2 linked regions of the Lytechinus pictus genome follow. Each later gene encodes a partner of the first gene's protein in a complex. Links are inferred from orthologs where the notes say so. Each region holds a gene or a part of one and is shown in the gene's direction. Other genes may lie near its edges. The genes, in order: putative RNA-binding protein 15B and N6-adenosine-methyltransferase catalytic subunit-like.

Evidence for each region.
Region 2: putative RNA-binding protein 15B (region 1) and N6-adenosine-methyltransferase catalytic subunit-like share a complex: the UniProt entries of both Drosophila melanogaster proteins name them as parts of the WMM complex. The link is inferred for Lytechinus pictus from reciprocal best matches to the Drosophila melanogaster genes nito and Mettl3.

What each region holds. Positions count from the first base shown.
Region 1 is NC_087247.1:53,157,564-53,166,605, reverse strand, and holds the start of putative RNA-binding protein 15B, read left to right. Parts: upstream 1-4,938; 5' UTR 4,939-5,054; coding exon 5,055-7,430; 3' UTR 7,431-8,879; intron 8,880-9,042. UniProt on the Drosophila melanogaster protein: RNA-binding protein that acts as an associated component of the WMM complex, a complex that mediates N6-methyladenosine (m6A) methylation of mRNAs. M6a modification plays a role in the efficiency of mRNA splicing and is required for sex determination.
Region 2 is NC_087246.1:25,856,074-25,865,122, forward strand, and holds the start of N6-adenosine-methyltransferase catalytic subunit-like, read left to right. Parts: upstream 1-5,254; 5' UTR 5,255-5,277; coding exon of another isoform or gene 5,278-5,398; 5' UTR 5,399-5,726; coding exon 5,727-5,817; exon of another isoform or gene 5,818-5,916; intron 5,917-6,724; coding exon 6,725-6,873; intron 6,874-8,545; coding exon 8,546-8,613; intron 8,614-9,049. Other genes in the region: arrestin domain-containing protein 3-like, read right to left, coding at 1,686-1,820, 5,278-5,398. UniProt on the Drosophila melanogaster protein: Catalytic component of the WMM complex, a complex that mediates N6-methyladenosine (m6A) methylation of mRNAs, a modification that plays a role in the efficiency of mRNA splicing and is required for sex determination.

The sequences.
Region 1 (9,042 bases):
AGCGATCAGATGAATAATATTTAACTTAATGGAAGATGAAAATAGATCAAATTTTGTGGCGTAAACATTTAAACGTTAAAACAAAGGCATTGACAAACTGTATTTATACATTGAAAATGATATTTAGTGGTTTAAGGTCTAACGAATATACGTCTGGTTGCGTAATTATACACTCCCGGTATTAGCAACGGGTTTTAGCAAAGTTTTGGACTAAAATATCGAATCATCTTCATAAAACACTATAGTCATGATAGTAGCTGTCTTACACTAAAGGCCATAGAGGTGGCACAATGTGGAATGTGTAAAGAAGAAAAGTGACTGACCTTTTTTTTATTAAAGCATTGGAATATAAGATCAAAATTAAAGGATTTGCTCTACACTTTTGTATGATTCTGGGATTTTTTAAATAACAAATTAAAGATTTCATGACATCTGTGGGCAACTGCCCCTCCCCAGTCCACTCTGTAAGGGCATGCGATAAGCTTTGTTATTCGTTATGAACATTCAACAATAAATGTATAACCAGGTGCCGCTGATCATTCTTGACCGGCGCCGATCTAGATTTGGTTGGCAATAGGCCCTTCTTCATTATTCTAACGGCGCCTATTTATTGGAACCAGGCGCTGATTTATAACCAAATGGCGCTGATTATTCTTGTCCGGCGCCGATTTAGATTTTATATTAGGGGGGGGGGGGCGCCCCCTGTGATTCTGGATCCGCCACTGTTCTTTATGTAAACGATTACCATTATGATAGGTCTACTTAATTTTTGTCATTCATTTCATTTGCAGATGATACTAATTTATTTTTTTATACAATTATCCCAATGTTCTTTTTAATGTTGTTAATGCAGTTACGGAACATATTACAGCGGATAAGGGCTAATATCACTTAATCTTCTGAAGACGAATTATATTTTTGTTTAGTAACTCCCTATTACCCACTGATATTATTTTTGACAATACCCCCTTTAAAACAAGTATCTCATACTTATTTTATCTGTGTTTCAGTAGACAATAAACTTTTCTGGAAATTACACCTTCAAAATATCTGTAAAATAATCTCTCGCATTATCGGTATAATCAACAAACTTAAATCACATCAACCACAATCACTTTTGTATTCATGCTCTACTCATCCCTTATTTTACCATATTTGAACTTCAGCCTTCTTGCTTGGGGCAGCTCACACCAAACATTCGTTGAAAGGATTTAATTACTACAAAAGAGAGTTCTCTTGCAAGGCACATATATATGCGCCCATAATGACTCACTATTCTTCGAACATAACATCTTAAAAATCTATTTTTAGTTCAACTTGGTGAATTTATGCCTAGAATTCTGGTCCTTTACCCTCCGTGTTTCATGATATCTTTATCAAAAACCGTATAGTTCATAAATACCCAACCACACAATCAGATTAATTTCATCTACTTCTTTTGAGAACATTTTCCGCAGAAAACTCTTTTATTTTTTTTTATTGTTGTGCAATGGTGAAAACACATTTATGTCCGTGGAGCCTTGTCAAAAGGCTATCATACAATAGATGTGGTAGACGGAGAAGACCATTTTCTGGGGAGCTGATCTGGAAGAAAGAGAATGAGTAATTGAGAAAGGGAGGGGTGCGGTAGAGAAAATAAAATATTTAGAGAGAGAGGGGGAAATTGTGATATGTGTGTGTGTGAGAGAGAGAGAGAGAGGGGGGGGTAAGAGGTGGATAGATGAGTAAGTGTGTTAATAAATAATGTCCAACTTTTCTGAAATTTTGCATTTTAAATGAAGAAAGTAAATAAATTGACAAATAAATTACTAAATAAATGAATAAATCATTTTCAAAATAGTTTATATTTTCATATGAACATGATAAGGTTACAACCATGATGTAAGATAATCAAATATTTTATTGTTTAAATGTTCAATTTTGGCATTAGAAATTACCCCTGTTATTTTTGAAAAAGTAATAATTTGATCGATAATGCATGCTCACTCATGTTTGATTTGACAATTAGATTTCTTGGCACAAGTTAGCAAATGAAGCACTCCTGCCAAATTGTATTGATCAATCTTGATTCATTAAAAAGATATTTTATAAAAAGGAGAGCTGCTTTTTTGTTGTGTTTGGCTGCAAAAGTTTCCCCCGCATAGACTTTGGTAAGAATCCTGATAAAAAGGAATTAAAATTTTCTTCAAAAACTGTATGTATGGCAAATTAAAGATTTATATATTATGTGCGAGTTTTTATTGGTCTATACCATAACATTTTTCTGGGTATACTACCCTTATAGATTAACTTGCTAAGTTTTATTGGGTGGTGGGAAGATTTGGGAATAACGGAAGAAAGTAGTGACGAAGGAAATAAAATAAAAGAAACAGAGAATATTTTGAAGGCCGTATATACGCCATACAGAATAAACAAGAAAGAAATGCACATTATTTTACACTATCTAATTTCCTTTCTTAAAATTCAAACTGTAGGCTGCATGTTGTGCTTTAATTTTAACGTCTGGTACATTCGTGAATAAGATCCTGGGGTGTTCTACGATGGAAAAATAATGGAGTCAGATAACACATAAGTACATGTACATCTTAATTGAGAGCCCCCCCCTTCCATGGGGTAATTGCGTTTTCTTCTGCTTTGTTACATTCAATTGTTGAGCCCTCCAAAATCCAAACCAACTATTGAGGACAATATGCATATATCTATATATGTATATCCTTTGTTATGCCAGAATTACATGTATCATTCGCAACACACTCTGATAATGAGGTGATATATTATCCCCTCTCCGGTCCACCGGGGGTGGGGGGGGGGGGTTGCTGTATTTTTTAAATATTGGAAAGGTGAGAAATAGGTTATAGGCGCACTAATTGGTTAAAACAATCAAACGAAGGACGTTTCAAAATTACATTAGGAAGGAAACAAGATAATCGATAACGTGCATGCATACATGCGAAGGTCAGTATCTATATAGGGCAGGGGCAGATCCAGGATTTCGTAAGGGGGGGGTATAGATTTTAGCGGCCGGGGGAGGGCGGGTGGGGAAGGAGGGGACCTGAAGGACAAGGATTTATTATTTTTGTGTGTGGGATGTGCGGGAGTGTTTATTATTCTTTTTTTTCTGTCTTATACTTCTTAATTTCTTCAAGTGAATTGGAAAATGAATGGATTAATTTGTGAATTTATGTTTATGAATTTTACTTATTTACTGGTTCTTTGATGGAGCTGAAGCTATTATGATGTATCATTTATGAAGTTATGAAATTTATCAGTTTGTGTTTGTATTCACTGGAAGAAGCAATAAAAGAATACTTTAAAACAGTATAAAGTATAAAGGTCTGCCGACTAATCATAAAGTTGATATGCGAGTAACTACACAGGTTCTCTACACTGCAGGCGTCTTCTGCTAATGGGGGGGGGGGGCAGGATTATTTTCATTCAAAGAATATTCTCCCCGGGTTGGCAGCTCGAAGTGCTTTTTTAGAATACTATTTTAGGGAGGGAATGTTCCTATGGACGGAAGTTTCAGTAATTTTGTAAACCACAAATCCCCGATTTTTCCCTTTTTTCAAATTTGGTTTTATTCGATTTTCAACAGAAATAAAATGGTCATAAATTATTACAATGACATTTGCAAATGAAACTTATACAAACAATTTACATTGAGGTATATGTACAATATGCGATATTTTACCATAAGTAAAACAAAGTATTATATAAAAACAATTATTATAAACATTATAAAGATCTGAGAAAATGGAGGGATCCACTAAGCAACAAAAGCAAACTAAATGCTTGTAGTGTGTGGACCCCTCTAAATAATTATTGTAGAATTGTCTACAAAGACAGACAGAGAGGTAACAAAACATAAAACAGCACAAGAACAAAAAACGAAGAACAGGGGAAGAAAAGAAAAAGAAAAGAAAAGGGAAACAAACACGAAGGATTTAAAAACAAAAATGAAAAGAAATAAAGAAAGTAAGATTAGAGCAGAACTTAAATGCTGAAAAGGGAAAATAAGTTGAGTAGGCATGAAATGGTAAAGTAAATGAGGTAAGTTATAATTATTTGAATTGATGAATATGGAAAATTATTGTCAACATTTACTAACCAAGTTGTCAATTTTAAATTTCTTGGGGATCTTAATTTCAAAACAACTATAACTGTCTTATTACTTGTAAGATTCCTTGCAAACTTTCACCAATCCGTTTTACTTATTTTCTCCTCTCTCACACATCGTATGACTACGTTTGGATTCGTCTAAAGGCCCCCTCACCCCTAACCGAATTGCCTGAAATATGCCTTGCGATGGCTGGCGAAAGGCATTTTTTAAAAATCGTTTTCAATGGAAACTGATAGTAAATCATATTTACCCTTCGTGTTTGGGTTCGTACATCTTTTGAAATTATATGTGATCGTTTCATTCTTACAAATAAAACAGTGAGAATAATATAAGCATCGAAAACCTAAAAAGAATCTGAAATTTTCTGCTAAATGACTTTTAATGTTGCTCTTTCTTTGATTCAACAAAAGATTAAATTAGTTAGCACACCCTTATCCAAAACAATTTCAGACACAAATAGATATGACAATTATTAACAAAAAACAACAACATTTACTTGCTCTAATGAATATTCATGCATTATTAAAATATGGCGTTAATTGAAAAATATAAGTACATTCAACTTGATTTTATAAGTAGTACTCATCTTTGCCTAATTGAGTTAGATTTACTCAATCAAAGCAAGCTATCAATACGTGAATTTTCTTAAATGTATATTGAACCCAAATAAATCAAGTAAATTAAAAGACAAGTTAAAACTACTTAACTACTTAAAAACGAAAAATAATTACAAATTGTATATTCTACTTAAATATATTAAGTGTTAATTACCGATTCAGAATTTTTTTTTACAGTGTACATTGTCTGGTGATAAGACTATGCGCACATACCCGGATGCAACGCAGAATAAGCGGCCATATTTGCTCAGTGTAGTTGATAAAGCATGAAACAGGAAGGAGTTTAACTTTCTGAATTGCTGTGAAATTTACTGCAAATGGATCGTCAGCAGGGTAGAAAACCTATGAGGAGGGTGAGGGATAGTCCTGAAATGCAGCGAATGCCAGATCGAGATAGAATGAGCCCTGGGAGTGACAGGTATGATGGTAGGGGAGGTGCAAAAATGGGAGGGCGAATGAGGAGCATGGAGAGAGATGACGGTGGCAGGCGTGGGACCGGCGGCGATAGGCGTCCACCACCCCGCGATGACTATGATCGCCCGCAGAATTATGATCGTCCTCAAAACTTCCAAAGTGATGGCTTTCAGAGGAAAGAACCAGATTGTTTAAGAATCACAAATTTCCCTTCTCATGTTTCTGATACAGCAATTAGAGATGCTCTTTTTCATGAATTTAAGAAATATGGTGAAGTAAATGTGCGTGTTGTGTTCAGTCAAGCAAAAAATGAGCGGATTGCTTATGTGAGATTTAGACTACCAGATCAGGCTAGAGATGCAATGCAAGCTCGTGGTGATCGTCTTACATTGTTTGCAAGACCGTTACACATTGTAGCAATTGTAAATAAAACAAATCATAATCAGGGGCAAGGGCATGATGGTGGTTACATGAATAATAGACAAAATGATTTTCAAGGGAGACGTGGTGGAATGCAAGGAAAGAATTACAGGCAGGATATGGGCAGTAGTGGTGGTGGCGGCAGAGGAAGAGATAGAGATTTTAATCGATATGAATCAAATTCCCGTAACTATGGAAATGATGGGTATCACCAAAATCAAGGTCGTGATAGAGACCGTGATGCAACATTTTTGCCTGAGGATGACCCAAAGGCTACACGTACAGTGTTTTGTGGTAACTTGGAAGATGGTATCCAAGAAAGTGAGATAAGAAGGCATTTTGAGAGATATGGCTTTGTTGAAGAAATTGACATCAAGTATCCACCTCGAGGCCAGGGAAATCCTTTTGCTTTTGTGAAATTTGAAAATTTGGATATGGCTTATAAGGCAATAATCTCTATGTCTGGCCAGTACATTGGGAGGAATCAGTGCAAGACAGGATATGGAAAACAGTCTCCAACAAATTGTCTATGGGTTGGAGGTTTGGGGCCTTGGATCACATTGGGTGTGCTGGAAAGAGAGTTTGATCGCTTTGGAGCAATTAGAAAGATTGATTATATTAAAGGTGATTCATTTGCGTACGTCCAGTATGAAACTGTAGAAGCAGCCCAGGCAGCTGCCAGCCACATGCGTGGTGTTCCTTTAGGAGGACCAGACAAACGACTTCGGGTAGACTTTGCTGAACATGGGCCTGGCATCCAGACAACTAAAAAGCAGTTTAGACCATACCAAGGACCACCCAACCATGATGATGGCTCAGGTGGCAGAGGCTACAATCGTTACAATCAAGACAGAGATATTGGTCGAGATATTTCACCTCCATCATTTCGTGATGGATCTGATCAGTGGCAAGGAGGGGGAGGAGGTTTTGATGGAGGTCGTGGGAACTGGCAGTCTGGTAGTCGATACAAAAATGATAACTGGAACCGAAGGGACAATGACCAATCAGGAAGAATGATGCAACGAGGTGATAATCGTAGAAGGCGAAATGGATCCCCTGATGATTTCGCTGGTAGGGATGACTGGTCACCAAGCAATGTGAAAGCATCTAAGCGCCGTAGGTCCCCTGGTGGTGATTGGTCTCCTGAGCGAAGGAAACCTAGAGATTCTTCACATGGGCGTGATTGGGATGCTTCACCAGATGGCCGTGTACGCCGTCAACGATCCATAAGTAGTGATCTTTCTGACCAGGATTTTGGTAGTCAACCCATGGAACGTCGTCGAAAGCGAGGTAGTAGGCGCTCCAGAATTCCAGATAGTTTAGATAACTTGTCTGATCTTCTAAATTACTTACCAATGTCTTGGAGAGGTCATTTGGTGTTGAAGAACAGTGCATTTGCTACTCGCATGTTTTTGGTAGGAGGAGATGCAGACACTGCTGAAGCTCTGCTGCCACATGACTTAGGAAGTGATGAGTCTGCCTTGAGGATCACACAGCGCTTACGTTTAGATCAACCTAAGCTTGATGAAGTGGGCAAAAGAATCTCGCAAGCTGGATCTAGTGGTCATGCAATTTTGCTTTCTTTCGCTGGAACAAGTGAAGATTCAGACTCTTTACCATCTGGAACCCAGGCACGTGCCTTGGTGAACTTGGTTACTTACCTTCAGCAGAAGAAAGCTGCTGGAGTTATCAGCCTACCAGTTAGTGGAGAGCAAAATAAGGATAACGTTGGTGTCCTTCATGCCTTTCCACCATGTGAATTCAGTCACAAGTACCTTCTTGATATTGCTCCTGGTTTAGGCCCAGATCCTTGCAAAGAGGATCATCTTGTTGTGATCATTGTGAAGGGGGCAGCATAGGTTTTTAATATGTTTTTAGAGTAATTTAACTAAATAATTTGCCTTGGTATGTAGTGTGTAAAGTTATAGAATTAGAAATGAATAAAAAAATAAAACTTCTTAACATTCAATTGGGAATCTTTTCATGCATGTACATGCACACTTGTATTTGTCATATTTCAGATAAGAATGCTTGGCAAAATTGTGTATATTTTGTAATTAGTGATGAAATATCTTATGCAATTGTTTTAAAATGTGTGATTGATGAAGTATTAGGAAGTAGATTATAACAAGTTGTTTATTATGTTGAAGTAACTTTGTACTGATATTTGCATCCCGATGAGTCAACCCCTAAACATGGCCTAAATGGCAGGACAGAAATCAAAAACGTATTCTACTTTGTGAATTCAAAATCATTTTTCAATAATACTTTATTTTCAGTACTGTTATTTGAACTTTTTAAGCCTATTTCTATTTTGTTGAATAATATTTCTGTGTTACATTATCATTGCTAATATGATTTCTAGCTTAAAAGAAATACAGATCCGGTCAGTGATTTTTGACAATACTGAATATTTACCCTGAACTTGACTTTACACTCAGCCAGAATAAAAGAAATCTGCCTATTCAGCTCTTTTCGCATTGGCTGTTATAGAGTAAAAGTGAAACTAAGATCCTATGGGATTTTTTATCCTAGAGTTACATGTGAAAAACAAAAATTTGATGACCATAACCATTGCAGTTTGTGATCAAATATGTAATGTTCATTTCTACTGAAATTCATGAAATTGTAAATGGAATATTTCATAGTCCCCTGTACAGTATATCCTTTTCATCAAGACAGCGTATATGAGACAACATGTATATTCAATGAGTTTTTTTTCTATTAATTAAATTATCGCAATTTGAATTTTAAATGCATGACAATGTAATTTACTCTTTTACTCTCAGCATAATTATTTTTTGGGATACACTAAATGTAGTACATGTATGCGAGTTGGGCATACTTTTTCTTCATGAAAGAACTTCTTACTGTTTGTTGCATAACTGGCACTCTAAAGATAAGCAACACACAAAATACTTGGTTTGCAATGGCCATCGATGGGCGCTCTTTCAGTTCATAAAATGGACAAGCTTGCATCTCATTTTGTAGCAAGGCCATCATGACCGGATCAGTTGTTGAATGGGAATGTCTTCAAGTTGTAGCAACTGGTGAAATGGAATTCTGCAATGATTGCCCTCCCAAATGCACGCTCCCCATTTCCATTAGCTACCTGTCAAATGCACCTTAAAATATCTTGAACAATTTATCTTATGGGCTCAGTTCAGTTACAAATCTGTCACATCCCTTCTCTGAAAATGTTCCTGATCCACCACTCCTCTATCCTCATACTGAGAATAAAGCTTCAAATTTGCAGCCATGACAACAATTCCAATCTCCACTGATGATTGAGAAGCTGAATTTTGAAGGTAAGATATTTTAGCAAAATTGCATCTTTTTTAATGTAATGTGAGTAACAGCGATTATGACACATGATTAATTCAGCTGCGCGTTCAAGTGGAAGGATGCTTCTGTGATTTGAGTAAATTTGTTTTGATCCTGAAATGCCTTCAAGGAGAAAAAAAAACCCTG
Region 2 (9,049 bases), on another chromosome or scaffold:
GGCCGCCTAGGCCCTAGATCTAAATTCTTATATAAATCTAGGCCCTAGTCTAGACTGAGCTGTTGCCAGTGTTGGTCTAGGTTTAGGCCTGTTTTCTAGTCCTGGAAACCTAGATCTAAACAAGTCCTCAAATTCAAAATGTATAAAATAAAAACTCCAAACAAACAGATGGACCTAAAGCAGGAGAAGATCTAGATAGATGTCTAGACTACTACTAGGACTAGATCTAACTTTAGGCATAGGCCTAGTTGGCAAGCAATGCATAGCGATATATCTAGCACTGTTGACAGGAATAACCGTCGTTTCTGGGGATTTATTTAAAAGTTTCTGACATTTACTGTCATATCACATTGGTGAGACTAGGCCAACGTAACGTTAGACTGTTTAGTGTCGTACTCGTAATACTAAAATAGCGGAACAACCAAAATACAGTCGGAGACTGAAGCTTTTGGTCTAGGCCTAAGTCAGATCTATTCTAGACCTACATGTAAATCTAGATAGATCTATCCCTGTCTTAAGGCTAAGCCAGGCTAAGTCCTGCATGTTCTAGGCCTAGACCAATACTAATATAGGTCTATCGTTAGATCTAGGCCTAGTATGTAGCTTCAGTCTCAGTTGCTCCACTACGGCACTAGACTAACAAAGTTACGTTTTGGCTTTTGCTTCAGCCTTCAGGAAAGTAAAAAGTAAAAACAATGTTCAATTCTCCTCCAAACAGACGGATATTAGTTGTAGATCTTGGGCCTAGGCTAGATCTAGGCCTAATGTTAGACCCAAGACTAGTCTCAAAAGTTACAAATGTTTTCCCTTAGACCCTAGGTCTACTTCAACTGAAGTAGAATAAAGATGTCGAGAGGAATCTACCCTATCCCATTTAGATTTTGACAAACAATACATGAAAAGTAATGAATGGGACTGATACATAAAAAACTGTGCAAGTCACTCGGTTTGGGATTGAAATGTTTTGGTAATTAACAAAATATAGAATAATCTGAATAAAGAATTCTTACCATATATGGGTGATGAATGCTCTTCTTTTACTACAATGGTTGTAATTAGTTTCAATAAAATCAAACTTGTTAAGAAAAAACAACTTCAATGACATTTTTGCTATTTTGTTGCAGTCACCCCTGCAGCAGTTTAGAAGGTCATAGAATTTGACTTTGAGACTTTGGCTTAGCCATATCGTCTGACTTGAGACAAATGTCTTAAAGTTTATAGAATATCGTTAGGGAAGATTTCTTAGACAAGCAATATGCTAAGACAAATTGCTAAGACTTAAGCAAAAAGCTTATCTCGTTTATGGAATACGGGCCCAGCTGCCTGTGATTTTTTTTGGGGGGCAGCAATTGTTGTATATTTGGAGACCAATGAACATTTATTCAATGAATAACAAGTTATATATTGATAAAACAAACATAAATTTACAGTGTAAAGTTCACACATAGGCTATGCCATTTTAAAATGGATACATTATTTTTTAAATAATAAATTCTCTTATTTCTTATCTATGACAATGCATATCAGTAAATAGTTAAGTATACATGATCAGAAAATTTATTCATTTAGAAAAATGAAATATGTGTGAAGCAAAGGAACTGAGCTTGAGAGTATCTCAAATACATGTCCATTAAAAATAAATTATAGATGAATCAAAATTCAAATGGATGCAAAGAAATATTAACCTGCTCCACGGAGAATGACTTCTTGCTTGAAGAATGGAATTTTCCATGTGTAATGGATGGTTCTTCTGTGATCTCCGGAGCCTCGTGTTTCAGTCCAGTGAGTGTAGGACTTGCCTTTGCATATTACCTTAATACCTGCATGTAGTCATGAGAGAGACAGAGAGAAAAGGGGAGGAGAAAGAGAAAAGGGGAGCGAGGAAAATTGTAACTCTATCACTTTTTATTTCCATGAATGAAGTTTTTGTCAATTCCGCTGGTTACATATATATGCTCTGTAGGTATACCAGAATATGCAAAGCAAAGTATTCATTAATTCTTGTTTAATGCATAAACCTAGTAACAGTTAGGTCTTTCCTTTCTGCAAAATTTTCATTCTGTGATTGGCCTTTAGGCTTAAAAAAAAATACTCATCACTATATTTGCATTAGGAACATGTGTACTACCATGGATGGAGTAAGAATTGCACATTGGTGAAGATGCGCCGGCATGATGCAATTATTCTTTTTTAAACTTAGATCCATTTCCGGGGATCCATTTGTATTTTCAAGGGAAGGATTCAGCAATCAGTCATATTATAAGTTGGATATTTGTAATCATATTGGTCATGTTTTTGGACTGGAGCAAAAATGAAGTCAGATAAGTGCAGACTTTGTTCTTTATATTAAACTAAGTCAAAATTAAGGCATACCCCGTTACTAAGAGTTGATTGGGTTAAGAACTTTATCTTGATGTCCTGCTCCAGGGGTGGTATTGAGGTATTCTGAGGTAATTTTATCTTTAAAATATTTCATTTTGTCTTCAAAAATGAAATTGGTTTTCTGAGATGACATTTTATCTCTCAGATAAAATATGAAATTTTAGCAAACTTAACTTCATTAGATCTACATATCTAAAGATTATACGCGACAGAGCAGAGCCTACATAGAAATATCCATCGCGTATCTAGCCATTGCTACGCAGATGATGTGCGTGTACCCACGTTACTTTGAAGAAGAAACTTAAAAAGAAACTTAAAATAGGGTGGGGCCTCTTTTATCTCTGCGTCGTCCAATCCAGCATGGTTTCTAAGTGAATTAGCTCTAAAAGCTTGAAGACAAATTTGAAAGAAAAATTATATCATTGAGAGTAATAGTATAATACCTGAACATTACTCCTGTATGATAAGGAATTATTTCATAATATTTTCTGGACTAATAATTGTCTCTAAAATGATGCTGGTGATGATGCGATATTGACATTGGGACTCTGTGAGTATTGTCATATTTTTAAAAGAAATCTCTGTAAAAATGCCCTAGCGCATAGTGCAAGCGTATTTGAATTCAATAAATTGACATAATCTTGCTCCTTTGCCATACCTCCTGGCGGAATGGATATCAATGATTAGTTGAGTGAGATGAAAGTGCTATAATTATAAAACAATTGATGTTTCTCACTTTCTCATTGGATATTACTTCAAAAATAGACATGATAGATGTGTCTTACAGAGATTAAATGAAGATAAACTGGTTCTCAGAATACCAATTTGGAGAGATTTTATGGATATTTTATCACACTCATTTTAACGAAGATAAAATATTTTATTTTATCTGACTCTGAGATAAAATGGATATTAGAATTCAGAATACCACCCCTGGGCCCCAGTACAGTACCACTACAGAGCTCTGCTGACGCTGGACCCCAGGAAATGCGGACCTCTTTGTTGAGGTCCTGGGGACGATTCCACGAAAGGGTCTTTGCCAGAACGGCATTATCCTGGTTTAAGTAACCACTCCATCTCCCATTGACTATGTACACAAAGAGCGCACACACACACTGACACACACAAGAAGAGAGGTGACTTATTTCAAGATAAGGCTGCAAGAACCGTCTTCCGTGTCGCCCATTTATGATGCGCCATGTGAAACGCATCTTAAATAAATTATGATGGTCACCGTGGTCCCTATAAGTCTGCGCACCTAGCTACCGGTATATGAGTTAAGATTTAACACGAATTTCTTTCTATTTCACAAAATCTTTCAGTTAGCCGGTAATGATGTTCCTGATATTATATTAGGAGTATTAAAGTGTGCCAAATATCTCATAAAAATTTGAAAGAATATATAGGATTTTCTTGGAGAAATCAGAATGAAAAAAAAAATGGTACCCCATGTCTGCGCACCCCTTCACTTTGCACACCATTCGGGGATTTTGATGACAAAGGCTGCATTTTAAGGCCGTCACATGAAATGCCCAAAATTCATTATTTTTCCAATATTTTGAGTCGGATTGTTTGATGAATATCTGTCTATGTATTGCATTTGTAAAGTCTGTGTTCGTTGCGTATCTTCTTTTACTAGAATTGCGCAGATAAGCATGTGCGCAGACAAGGGGGACTGCATGCGCAGACTTGGGGGAACTTGCCATACCTGCAAACATATTTTATTCATCCGATAAAGTAAACAAAAATAATAATCTTTGTTTATGAAATGATGTGATATATCTTGAAATTGTATACAAATTGATTTAAATGCTATCTCACAAATTTTATTTGTTTATCATACATTTAAGAAATATGCCGCATACAGCGGCCTTGACCTTGGTCTTGGAAAGACCCTTTCGTGCAATCGGCCCCTGATGATCTGATCTGACATGCATACCGCAGTATGGTTGGAACTACCCCTTATCGACCATCTAATCTTCTAAGCATCGTATCTGCGATCAATTTTACCCAGTTTTCGTCTCATTTGTGCAGAAAATTGAGCAGATCAGATTCCCATGTTTCGCTCGGCGACTCCGATTCAATCCGCGTATATATCGACGAACAACGAATACGACGATTTTACATTTGCTCATTTGCACCCGTCTTTTGAAACCGACCACCCGCGGTACATTGAGTTTACGACCGATTCTTGTCGCGGTGGCAAAATATTTTTACTCTTCCAAATCAGTTCTATGATGTCAACATGCTAAATGATCGTCTCACTACTTCCACTGCGAGCTCCGACACATGATTGAACGATTGACGACGGATATTTGTTCTAGAGCCGTTTCCTATTGGATTTCTTGGTTTTTCAGCGGGGTTTAATTGGGTCTGGTCAATACAATTTTGATTAATTCTACTAAATTTTTACTTCTTGTTGCTTCTTTTTTTCTCGTAAAATCAATTCTTACCGTTTCTATGGACACTGCGCCTACTCTCCCGTGCGTATCGTTAGTAATACGCAATAATTTTAACGTGCGCAAGGTGGTCGGTTTCAAAAGAGGTGGTCGATATGTGGTAGTCTCACCATACCCCTGTTGACCAAGCCATACCCTTAGTTCCAAGGCAATTGGCAATTCCTCCTACTTTAGTAGGATGGGGGGTCGGGTGTCCGGACACTTTATCTTTTTGAAGCCTTCTTTTTTGTCTTTGGATTACACTAAAAATATGAATTCAATACTTGTAATCATCTTCTGTTTTGTTCTTTATAATATTTCCTAACGTTTTGTACTAAAAATTGATGAAACTTCGCTTGTAATTTTTTCCAAATGACTTTCTAAAATTGATCGTCCGGACACACAACCTGTCCGGACACACAACCTGTCCGGACACACAACAACTGGGTATACTTACCTCGAATGTCTCCCTTTTCTCCCGTCAAAACTATCCTTGCGTGTCCCTGGATGGTATCCCCTGGTTTGAACACTTCATTGCTACCTTCGAAAACAACCTCAAATACCTGCAATTTACCCATTATTGAGTAGGTCTAGCTAGACCAAAGTCAAAGACAAAATGATTTGTTGACGATAGAGATCGCGTCACGGCCACACCCAAGGTGGTTCCCCATGTTCCTCTCGATCTCGCGCTCGATCCGATCCGCACTCGCGCCGCGGTGCCGCTCTATCCCTCTCTTCAAGCCGTGCATGCGCAATGCAATTCTTATGCAGATATCACGATTCTGTGATCGCAGCTATTGAAATTACATGTGAGCTGAATTCCCAACTGAGGATTAGACTGTTGTTGAATGGCAATACTGTGATCATATTCCTCTTATTGTAACACTTTATCGCCAATCAAGGACAATGGCTAGTACTTTGGAGGCTCTTAAGAAAAAGAGAGAAGATTTAAAGGCCAAGTTGATGCGAAGGAAGGAAATTACAACAGGAATAACTGGTGAGTTGGAAAGGACTGCCATGACTGTAGTCCCATAAGTTGAAAATTATGTAAGGCGGCATACCGTAGATTATTCTGATATTGATTTTAATTTAATACATACATTTTATCACAAAAATATATTTTCCTCCCAAGGTTATGTGACTCAAGAGTCAAGATGGTTGATTGTTCGATCATGTTTCATCATTTGGAAACTGGATTCGCTTTTGAAAGTGAAATATCAATGTTCTTTTGTAGAAAAAAATGGAATTGGAAACTTTTCAATCATGTTTCATTATTTTGCTTTTGAAAGGGGAATATCATAACGTTAAATGTCGACTTTTTAATTAAAATGCAAAAATTATGTTGCACTTGCAGGGCTGCCAACTTTTGAGTAGCATGGCATTGCATTGACACTCGATCGCTTGTTGTGCCTCGCACAAAAACCCCGCTTCATAGTAAAATTTCGACGTCACCAGCTCTCATATACTAATATAGTCATACACGGGATACAGTAAGCCAATCGCAACTCAATGTCTTGTCTTTGCGCAGCAAACCGAAACCAATTCGCATTGATGGTTTAGCTTTGCGCTTGTGTGGTTAAAAACTTTGAAACTTTTGCCTGTCCGGGTTATAATGTTATTGAATATCCGATATAGGCTAATAAACTTTTTTCTCTCTATTTTCGGGGTTCAGCGTGAGAATCGGGTGAATTGTGTGAGACTCACGCAGATTGCGTGAGAGTTGGCAGCCCTGTGTTGTTTAATTTTTTCACTCTTGAAAGAAAATGCATGAAAACTCAGAGGAAAGAATATTTCATTTCCACATGACTGTATGAGCTTGGATTTAGATAAAGAAAACAAGTCCACACTGTAGTGGTTTCTAATGCCTCTGTATTGATATGTCCTTTTTCAATTATATTCGTCAGAGAACAAACCAGTTTCACTCAAGTTGGAAGTATCAAGTTCACCTATTCCACCTGATAGTGTGCCTGCACAGAGTAGTAGTACATGTACCTCATCAATACAAACAGGAATAAAACAAGAAGATGGATCAGCTCCAGTTCCTATTCCAAAGGTATTCTACAGTTGGTCAAGAAGGTTTAGAATTTATGGTAGTATACTGAATAGTGTTCTCATCGTTTATCGTATCATTTATAATCTTGGAAGTCAGCAGCAATTTCCTAGTCCCAATTTACTTGACTGAGTCAGAGCAGACATGGTTATCTATTTTTACCATTTGCAGTAAAATTGATTGTAGACATAGTCAGATTTTGCTGACATTGCATATTTGTAATGTTTGATGTATTTTCTAATGCAATACCTGACTATTCCCAATGTACTACCACAATAAATTTTTATGAAGTGGCCCTAGAGGCCAAAATCAATGAAAAATGTATTTGAACAAGACAGTCAAATATTGATAACTCTCAGAATAAATTCAGTCTTGCTTGATTCCTAAGATAATGTACTACCATAGTCTAAAAATTCTTTACCCTTAATTATATTTTAACCATCCAATATTGCCTTTAAACAAAGGAAATGTATGATTACTGCTGTAGATGTTGAATAGGCCCGATAGATATATTTAAGGAAAAAATGGTGTTCTTGTCAAACACAGCTCATAAGATTGGTTGAGTTTGTTGTTTTACTCTTTACACACCAAACATCAAATCAGTTTGTGTATTTTCCTTCTGTGCAATCAGAGACTTTGGAGGCATAGACTCAAACACAACTTACATTGCAGCGAACATTTCTGTATAAATGACAAAAATCCATTTTGCAGATATAATTGCCCCTATGCAAGATGCTTTACTTGGTTTATGGTGTAGAACTGGCCCTGGATAGATCACTAAAATATATTTTCTAGATATTTGTCAAGTTTCTGTCAATTTCTTTTTTAAATTGCCCATATGCAAGATGCTTTACTTGGTTTATAGTGTAGTACTGGCCCTGAATAGATCACTAAAAGATATTTTGTAGATATTTGTCAATTTTTTGTCAATTTTTATTGAAAAAACCCCATTCTTTTGCTATAGCTTCTTGCGGTAGATACAAATGATAATATAAAAGCTGATAATGTAAAGAATAATTGTTTTTCTTTATGGTGGTGTTTTTCTGTAGAGCATTGCTGTAGTTGTTTGATAGGAATAAATCATAAAATCATGCATTTTAACACAAGGTACATGACATCCCTTATAGATGAAGTATATATATTTTGTAGATGAGAGGATACAGAAATTGCTGAGAAGATAAAAATATAATGTGACTCATAAAAAAATGATCATGTTTCAGAGATAAATCGCTTGAAAAAAATATTACTTCAAAAAGAAGGGCACTTGTCTGAAAATGAGGGACACATTGCAAAATTTATGGCAAAGGGGGATGCCACCTGTGCCCCATGACCCACAAATTACTGATAGTGTACATGTAGGTCTTTCAGTAAGAATACACTTGTTCCTTTGATTTTTATCCATTTTTTATTCAAACATGTGTTGTAAACTTACAATTGCATTGTAATGATCATACGCATATTTCTTAGAAAATTTTTCCTCAGTTACACTACTGTTTCAGGATTTTATATTATCTTGTAAATGTTAGAAAATATAGATTTTTCCAGGTCAATGAAATACTGTATTTACAGGTTTAAGAACCTGTGTTACTTATCTTTTTTCTTTATTTTTCTGCCCTCCAAAGTATGTCGCTGATCAGTTTACTATTCATTTCATTTTTTCTTCTTAATTTACCAGAGTACTGTACCTGCAGGAAGTCAAGGTATCTCTGATGGGACTGAATCCAGGAAAAGAAAGAGAGAAGAGTAAGTCATAAAAGGAAAAGATTTAATGAATCCACTCTGAACATGAAGCATCACTTCAGTTCAATGAGTAGAGAAATGCAGTACCCTATTGACTTTTCAGTGGTTAAAGTAGGATCTATCAATTATATTCTGTTTACCCTATTTTAAGAAGTCCAAACAAATATTTTCATTACCTCTACCGCTATGATACTGTGCATCAGATCTGTGCCCAAACCAATTAATTTTATAAGGATAAAATTTACAGCTCAGTTTTTTTTTTTATTATATAACTACTATTTGATAACAATTTTGATGTAAATTTTCAAGTCTTTGATCTGTGTCTAAGAACAGGGGTGAAATGAATTGTACTGTACTTTTTTTAAAACAATTTTGGGACCTAATATTTCTTTTAAATATTAAAGATTAAAGTGGTTTACCATAGTAATTCTAGTGGGTA